2 linked regions of the Sus scrofa genome follow. The protein of the gene in region 2 interacts with the protein of the main gene of each other region in a pairwise test. Links are inferred from orthologs where the notes say so. Each region holds a gene or a part of one and is shown on either strand. Other genes may lie near its edges. The genes, in order: LSMEM1 and LSMEM2.

What was found.
Region 1: the proteins of LSMEM2 (region 2) and LSMEM1 interact in binary tests that used the Homo sapiens proteins (3 or more experiments, as listed by UniProt). The two-hybrid records come from large-scale screens. The link is inferred for Sus scrofa from reciprocal best matches to the Homo sapiens genes LSMEM2 and LSMEM1.

What each region holds. Positions count from the first base shown.
Region 1 is NC_010460.4:33,187,995-33,192,243, reverse strand, and holds the start of LSMEM1 (leucine-rich single-pass membrane protein 1), read left to right. Parts: upstream 1-1,333; 5' UTR 1,334-1,474; coding exon 1,475-1,601; intron 1,602-3,942; coding exon 3,943-4,071; intron 4,072-4,249.
Region 2 is NC_010455.5:32,751,251-32,755,531, reverse strand, and holds the start of LSMEM2 (leucine-rich single-pass membrane protein 2), read right to left. Parts: upstream 3,008-4,281; 5' UTR 2,622-3,007; coding exon of another isoform or gene 2,572-2,621; coding exon 2,558-2,571; intron 2,379-2,557; coding exon of another isoform or gene 2,374-2,378; coding exon 2,246-2,373; intron 71-2,245; coding exon of another isoform or gene 1-70.

The sequences.
Region 1 (4,249 bases), on a different chromosome or scaffold from region 2:
AAGTATATTTGGAATTAGGTAATATCAATGTCTGAAGTGCTTCAGTAGTATCTCATCAAAAATACTCAGGGGGTGATGTGTTCTTGTTAATTAAAATTTCTGAAGAACTGAAACACCCTTTAAAATTTTTTTTTTAACTTTGAAAAAAATTAACTAGTTCATTACTTTTTGAACTCACATTTTCTTAGGGTTCTGGAAGCATATTTTTTACACATGCTAGTAGGTTTTAGGTTTTACTGGGAAATTGCTGAGTTTCAAGATTTTATTTGTTTGTTTGTTTATTTATTGTCTTTTTAGGGCTGCACCCATGGCATATGGAAGTTCCCAGGCTAGGGGCTGAATGGGAACTGTAGCTGTCAGTCTACACCACAGCCACAGCAACTCGGGATCCCAGTCCTGATTTCGACCTATACCACAGCTCACTGCAACACTGGATCCTTAACCCACTGAACAAGACCCGGAATCGAACCTGCGTCCTCATGGATGCTAGTCAGATTCGTTAACTGCTTAGCCACAATGGGAACTCCTGAGTTTTAATATTTTAGAGTGCAGTTTAGTCTGTTTAGTAAATGGCTGATTTTTTTTTTTTCAGATCTTCTATAGGTGTTCTTATTTTTTTATTTCTGTATTTGGTTTCTCCTAACTCTGGTCATATTTCTGTTTATTCTGTAGCTGTGTATTAAAGGAAATTTTAAAAATGTTAAAGGAAGTAAATAAATAGTGTGTTGTCACATTAAAGGCAGGTATGAAGTTTATTACATTGCTTTTACTAAGATCTAGATATCACATGAGGCTCTTTACCTCAATTTTATTTGTCAGTGTACTATTAACTGCCTCCAATTCTTTTGGAAATAGGAAGATTTAAACCCTAAATAAAATATTTTATGTGTTCCACCTTAACATAAGTCACTGGCTTCTAGACCTTTATACTGCACAAAAGTACAGTTTTGTATTAAAGCCTCATCAGTTAGAACGGTTCTCAGTAATATTTTCTCCCCTCAGCATCTTTATGGCCACAGGCTGCCTCACTTAATTTTGTCTTTCTGGGTGTTTATGCATAGTCGTCTTGCACACAAGATTTGAGGCATCTCACTAGCGTATGAACAATGTGATAAAAGAGAAATATTGAAAAGTCAATTACAAAATTAAAAAAGAGACCCAAGGGAAATATAGGCAGAAGTGAGAAATCTGAAGAGGAAAGCACATATGCATGTAAGCAGAGTATTAAAGCATTAAAATGGGGCCCACGGCAGACGCTGAGCTTCCTGGCAAGCAAAGCAAAAACAAGAGTTGCCCCCACAAGGGAGTATTTTCTTTTGGACAAGCAAAGCTTTTCTGGCCCTTCATTGGGAAGTAATTCGTGTGGGTGGTTCTTCAAGTGCCTGCCCAGCTTCCTGTGGGCTGTGATCCTGGCCAAGTCCAGCTCCCCAGCCCAGCGTCCTGCGTTTAAGGTCCGCGTTTTCTTCCGGGGACAATGAATCGTTCTTCCCAGGACACCGGCTCTCGCGGCCTTCCTGAAGAAAGAAAGCTTTACGTTGTGGATTCCATAAATGACCTAAACAGACTAAACCTCTGTCCTGCCGGATCGCAGCATCTGTTCCGTACGTGAGCCCTCCCAGGCTTGGCGGCCCGTCCTGGCTTCTAGGCCACCTAAAAATAGCCACCGTCCAGCCAGACCTGTGGGCGTGGTGGGGGCTGGGTGGGCATTAGGACGGCTCCGCGTTAGAAATGCTGTTTCGTATTAGGCAATTTGTGCTTTTGTTTTCTGAATGCTTGCCAGGCTTATGGGCTTTCTTGGCTCTTGGCAAGATTTGAACTCTTGTCTGCAAAAGTCCCGAAAAGTCCCTGTGGCCTTTCTCCCCCTGGAAAGGGGTGGAGGCTCCCGAGATGGGCCCCCAGAGGCTCACTCATCCTCCTGGCTGCTTTCGTGCCTTCTAGTGACCACAGGCAGGTCACCTGTGGTGCCCGCTTTCCTAGAGAGGTCTTACTCGGAGCGGATTGCTGAGAAAATGTTCCACGCGTTTACCTAGTTTTTGAAAAAATCATTAGTTTTTTGGGCAAAAGAGTCAACTTTTTTTTTTTTTTTTAATTCGAAGATTGCCCCAATTAAAGTATTAGAAAAAAGAGGGGGAGACTAAAATGAAAATCTGTTAAGTACCAAATAACTTAATGTGGGAGTTCCCTTGTGGCTTAGTGTTTAAAGATTTAGCATTGTCACTGCTGTGGCTCAAGTTTGATCTCTGGAATGCTTGCATGCTGTGGGCGTGCTCCCGCCCCCCCAAAACCCAACAAACTATAAATGTATGTCTTGTCCCTTAAGTATTACAAATGAGTTCTAAGATTATTAGAACCCCATCTTTTCTAGCTTCAGTGCTGACTTTCCAGCACAGGTGATAAATGCCCCCTTGGTTTGTTTCGCGTACACTCTTAAACTCTTACTCTCTCAATTTATATCTATTATTCCCCTTCTAAATAATTTTTTTTTTTGGTCTTTTTGTCTTTTCTAGGGCTGCACCAGAGGTATATGGAGGTTCCCAGGCTTGGGGTCCAATCAGAATTATAGCTGCCGGCCTATGCCACAGCCACAGCAACTCGGGATCCGAGCCGCGTCTGGGACCTACACTGGATCTTTAACCCACTAAGCGAGGCTGGGGATCAAACCTGCAACCTCATGGTTCCTAGTTGGATTCGTTAACCACTGAGCCACGATGGGAACTCCCTAAATCTTTTTTGAATTCTTGTTTTTCTCTTCATTTTGATTTGTTCAGACTTTCGCTTGTTTTCACTGCAGTCGGTCTCAATAAGCATAGGGGTTTGGGTGCTGGCCTGTGCCAAGGCTTTGATTAGGAAGCAAAGGCTGTGGAGGCTGTGACATAAGATGCCCCTGAAAAGTGTGGGACCTACACCACCCATCTGTCCATAATCAAGTAGCAGAGGCTGTGGGCTGATATAAAGTAGGAGAGAATATGGAAGGTAATCCAGTTTCTGTATCTCTTTTTCAATTTAATTTGGGTATTATTAGGCAAATAGGTCTTACAAAATGGTGACCAAGTGCAGACAATTCATGGTTTGGGTGAACCGAACTGGTTTATACGCTTGGTTGCCTTCTCAGTTCAGCTGCACAACATTTAAGAAAACCTTGCTTTCCGAGCGTGTCCATCCTGAAAACAGTTTTAAGAAACCAAAGTATATCAGGGTATTTTGTTATTGTTATTTAAATGAATGTAGGCATTACAGGTTATTTTATTTCTTTTCTTTCCTTGGCTGCTGCATCTGCCGCATATGGAAGTTCCCACGCGAGGAGTCACATTGGAGCCGCAGTTGCTGGCCTACATCACAGCCACGGTCACGGCAGTGCTGGATCCATGACCCACTGAGCAAGGCCAGGGATCGAACCCACATCCTCATGGACACTCTGTCGGGTTCTTAACCTGCCAAGCCACAACAGCAACTCCCCATAATAGGTTATTTTTTTTAATAGGAAACAAAGTTTTCTGGGAGATATCTCAGCGCCTTCAGCATGTCACCTGGAGTAAGTGGCCCACAGCCAGCTTTGTGTAACTCCTGGATCATTTTGGGAAAAGGGCAATAGCGCCTCCATCACCTTGACCTTTCTTTATCCCCCTCACCCACCTTCCAAAAGAACAATCCATGTCCTGCTACGTCAGTTGTTAACATGATCTGCAAAGAATTTTCCCAGTAGGGGTTAAGGAGACAACTGGACTCGGCTTGTTCTTTGAATACTAATAGAGAAGAGCATGAAAAATTCTCAAAGACCACCCGGCCCAAAGACATTCCTAAAACAAGTCTCTTTCTAGAGTGATCAGAGGGCAAAATGGACATATCTCTCACGCATGCCTCTAATGCTGGGGACTGTTCAGTTCCCTGTGAAGCTGTCTGCTGAGGAGTTTTTGTCTTTGTTGCTGTTTGTTTTTGCCTTAGCTCTGGAGGAGAAAATCCCAGCCGACAGCAGTAACTCAGGAAATGGAAGCCACGGGCTGTTTTTGGTGGGGCTGATAATTGTGCTGATTGTCAGCCTGGCGCTGGTTTCCTTCGTGATATTCCTAATAGGTAAGTCCCTTGGAGATGTTTCTCATCACGGCCGTGCCCTTCGTAGCTGGTGTTTGACTTTGCTCCTGCAACAAGGCAAGGCTTCTTGGCATCAGGGCTCACACTGAAGGACAGGGGAGTGCCAACACACGCCCAGGATACCCTGCTGCTCTGGGACAGGTTGCAGACAAGCCCACAG
Region 2 (4,281 bases):
TAGTGCAGGGTGTTTCAGCCGGGGATTCACCCCCTCTCTTCTCCTAGATGGCCTCCAGGAGCAGCAGGAGCTCAGAAAAGGTAGGGAGGAGAGGGGGCATTTGGCTCCTAAGCACCTAACACCAACTGAAGAATGATCCCTGATTTGGAGCCAAAACAACCCCTTTCGCCCCCAGTAATAGCAGGTGCAGTTGACTGGGAGGACTAAACCCACAACCCATGAAATTCATTCCTGCCTTTTCTGCTGTCAGTTTTCCCTGTACACCCTATGCCTGGGTCTCTTCATTGTCCCCAGCAGCAGCAGCCCCATTCTAGGCAGCCTTGTGCCTTTCCCTCCCAGCCTCACTCTGCCCCCTTTAGATGTACTCAGCATGATTCTGCTCTGTTTCTGGGAACGCTACTGTTTTTCACTTAACATCGCACAGGAGACCGGCCTTTGTTATCAAACTGTTCCGCTTGCCTCTGAGGTCTCCCCTCAGGCATCCCTTCTAGGCTGCCTGGGCATTTCGGTTGTTTCCAATAAACCCTAGAAAAGGACATGCATGATAGTATAAAGATTTCCCCAATTTCCCCATAGTTATTAACGACAGATTCCCAGAAGTAGGATTACTGGATCCAAGACAGGGACTTTTTCTTTTAGGCTATTACCAAAGCGACCTCAGGAATGGCTGTCCACAGCCACCCAAAGAGTACAATATTGCCACCATTAGGCATCTCCACTGAAAAAAGTTTAATATACCTAAGTGCACACATATATTTGCTAAGTTGGGAAATGAGGAAAGGCTTTTCTTGACCAATTTGGTTGGTTTTCTTTGCTTGGGGAGCCTGACCAATATGTGTGTGGCTTCCTAGTTCACAGCCTCTGCCCATGTAGTCACTGCAATCTGTGTACTTTTTCTGTAATTTTAATTATTTTCAGACCCAGTGGAGTGTTTGTTTTGTGATTTCTAAACATTGTATTCTGGGGTTTTTTGTGTTTTTTTTTTTTTCCCCCTCCTTTAAATCTTGGCCCCTTGAGATCTTCAGATGTCAAATGGAGGGACACTGCAGGGATACCTCCTGACACAGGCAAGGGTGACTGGACTCTGGGCCTATCACTTTCAGTACAGTACCTCAACCTTTGTGATTTGCTTCAAACGGGCCTCTGCCATGCTCAAAAGAAAGTGAAACAGGAGTTCCCATTGTGGCTCGGTAGTTAATGAACCTGAATAGGATCCATGAAGATGTGGATTTGATCCCTGGCTTCGCTCAGTGGGTTAAGGATCCAGCGTTGCCGTGAGCTGTGGTGTATGTCGCAGATGCAACTTGGCTCCCGAGTTGCTGTGGCTGTGATGTAGGCCGGCAGCTTCAGCCCCAATTTGACCCCTAGCCTGGGAACCTTCATATGCTGTGGATGTGGCCCCAAGAAGACAAAAGACCAAAAAAAAAAAAAAGTGAAACAAAAACAGGTACTGGCTGTCATTATGACTGGGTGATGGTAGTTTGAGGTTCATATTAAATTCCCTCTTTGCACTTGGCTGTGCTTTTCACACACTTTAAACTGAACTTGGATTCTGTTACCAGGAAAAACCCTAGTAAATGTTATTGTTAAGACGCCCCCACACCCGGGGCCAGGCCCCTCCCATCCAGTATAAAATGCTGAAAATGTGATGGGAGGAGTGATTAGATCAGGCTGGAGCCTTGGAGCAGCACTGTATCTGAAGCTTCCCAAGTCAATGCTCTTGTCCCTCCAACCCTCCATCCCTCTTGAATACAGTGGGGCAATGAGTGGTAGCCACCAAAGTCTTAACTAGAAGTCAGACAGGCCAGGCCAAGGGACCCCAACTTTTTAGCCCACATTTCAGGCTAGAATCCTATACACTCCCAGTCCCTGGGCCATGCACCCAAACGCTATCCAAAACCATTGCCCACCCCCAATCCCAGTGTCCTCCCCGAAGGAAGAACTGCACTGGCCAGACTGCCTGGCCCACTTAAGCACAGGCTCTGGTTTACTCTTCCCCCAAGTGGGGAAGCTCCTCTAAGCACCCCCTGCAGTCCCTTGCAGGAGGAATAGGCCTGAGCTGAAGAGGCTTTCCAGACTCAGTAAGCCGTTCCTTCATGCGCAGCGGGGGCAGGTCTCTCTTCTGGGATATAGTGATTAATGACGAGTCAAGAAAATGAGGTCAGTGGGACAGAGGCCAGGTTTCTCCATGGTCCACAGAGTCAGAGGATTGGGGCCTTACCCTCCCTTCAAGTTATTTTCCTACCTTCTTGGGTTCCTTCGGGCATGGTGGGTGGGTGGGCAGCCAGGAGCCGATGAGCGTGCCCAGTAGCAGGACAGGAGGGAGTAGAAGTGGCTCCTATGACCCCGGAGAAGGCCTGGCCACCTCCCAGCCTGCACTGAAAATAGAACTGAGCTCAGCCCACTGGGCTATATTTAGAGGGGGCAACACCATGGGAAGGGGCGGAGTGACCCACATAGACCAGCCTGGACTCTGCCTGGTGCTGGAGCCCAGGGGAGGATGTACCTCAACGAGGGCCTGGGGCCACGGTCTTTCCCAGGACACCCTGCTACTCACACGTGCAGGGACATGGAGCCTTCAGCCGAACAAACCTCCTCATACCTCCAGTGATGTCCCCCATGGTAACCAAGACATTGAATGGACTCCTGTGCACAAGAAAATACCTGGGCTAAAACCAGTGTGCCTTTTATCAGAAGGAGGCAAAGACACCCCTAAACCACACAGAGAGCCCAGTGGCCACCAATCCACACCACCACATGGCTCAAGCAGGGGTAACACTCGGAAGGTCACAAGCACACAGGCCAGGATGGGACAGTATATTTCTCGTCTGTCAGAAGCAATGAAAAGGTGGATGGCAAAGCCTAGATTCTGACAAGGTCCCAGAAGTGACGCAGAACCCAAAGAGGGAAACCCAGCAGTCTTCCTGAGCCGGGTGACAGGCATTCAGGAAGGGCACCAATTAAGACCCTGAGTCTGCACAAGGGACATCGCCCTTAGCCCTGCATTTGACCACCCAGTCTGCTCCCGCGCTCAGGAGAAAGTTACAAAAGCTTGAGGCTGGGCCCCAAACCCCGCTGTCAGCCTTGGTAGAGGAGGCCTTCAAGGTCCATCCTCAGCAGTGAGACTTAACAGAGGCCAGTGAAGAAAACACGGCTTTGGGCTGCTGTGATTGACCCACTGTGTCGTCGAGGGGACCCTAAAGGGCTGACAAACCCAGGCAGACAGCCTAGGAGCCACCTGGGGGGAAACCAGTGTGCCTTTTGTCAGAAGGAGGGGGGGGCCTGTTGCAAGCTCCCTCTTGTGGGCAACAAAGAAACAACCCTAAGCAGCCCGAGTTCCTGGTGAAATTGGGGTGAGATACCATCACACAGAGGGACCTACAGACCAAATGATCAACCAACATGCCCCAAGGACCTGGTGGGCTCCAGATCCTAAGACAATGCATCCTCATTGCTCCAAGGGAGCCTCGAGTCACCCTTGACATTGCAGGCAGGAAAATGACTTTCTTTCCCTTTTTTTTTTTTTTTAGGAGTCACACCTACAGCATAAGGAAGTTCCCAGGCTAGGGGTGGAATAGGGACAATGACAAGAAAACTCACTTAACATTTCCAAAATCATATTCAAAGAGGAATATTTACAAGAATGCTGGCCATGCCATCAACAGTCCCAGCTGGCTAGTAGCCTTTCTCTTGCATTTCACCTGAACCTACAATTTCCGATGACTACCTAAATCACTACTCCCTTGACCTCTGCTAGGCACACTCGCACCTTCCAGGGGGCTATCCCAGGGCTTTTACCTGACTCCCCCATACAATGGGACCCAAGGCATGGGGCACACTAAGTTAAATTCCACAAATGGCATTTGTTTCACACACCCCCAATGCACTCCCGCCCCCAGGTATAATTATATCAGCTGTTCTGCTTCTTATACAACAATACGCTGTACTTACAACCTCACCCATGTGTGCTGTTTCAAATAAGGAAATTTTCCATCTCCTTGAAATCAAATTCAACCCACTTGTGGGATACGGAACAAATAGTGAGCTGACTTTCCCGCCTCTGCTCTCTGACAAAATCATACTGGAGCATTTTTATTAAGACTTTTATGACATCATATGGTCTAAACGACCAAAAGAATGGTTTCTTTTCCCCGAGTTGCACACATACTAGCAATAGCTTTGTTCTTCAAGGACTCCCAGCTCCAAATAACCATGAGGCAGACATTCACTTCTGCACCTCTGAAGGGCTTTGTTCTGCAGACACCCAAACCACCCTGTGTT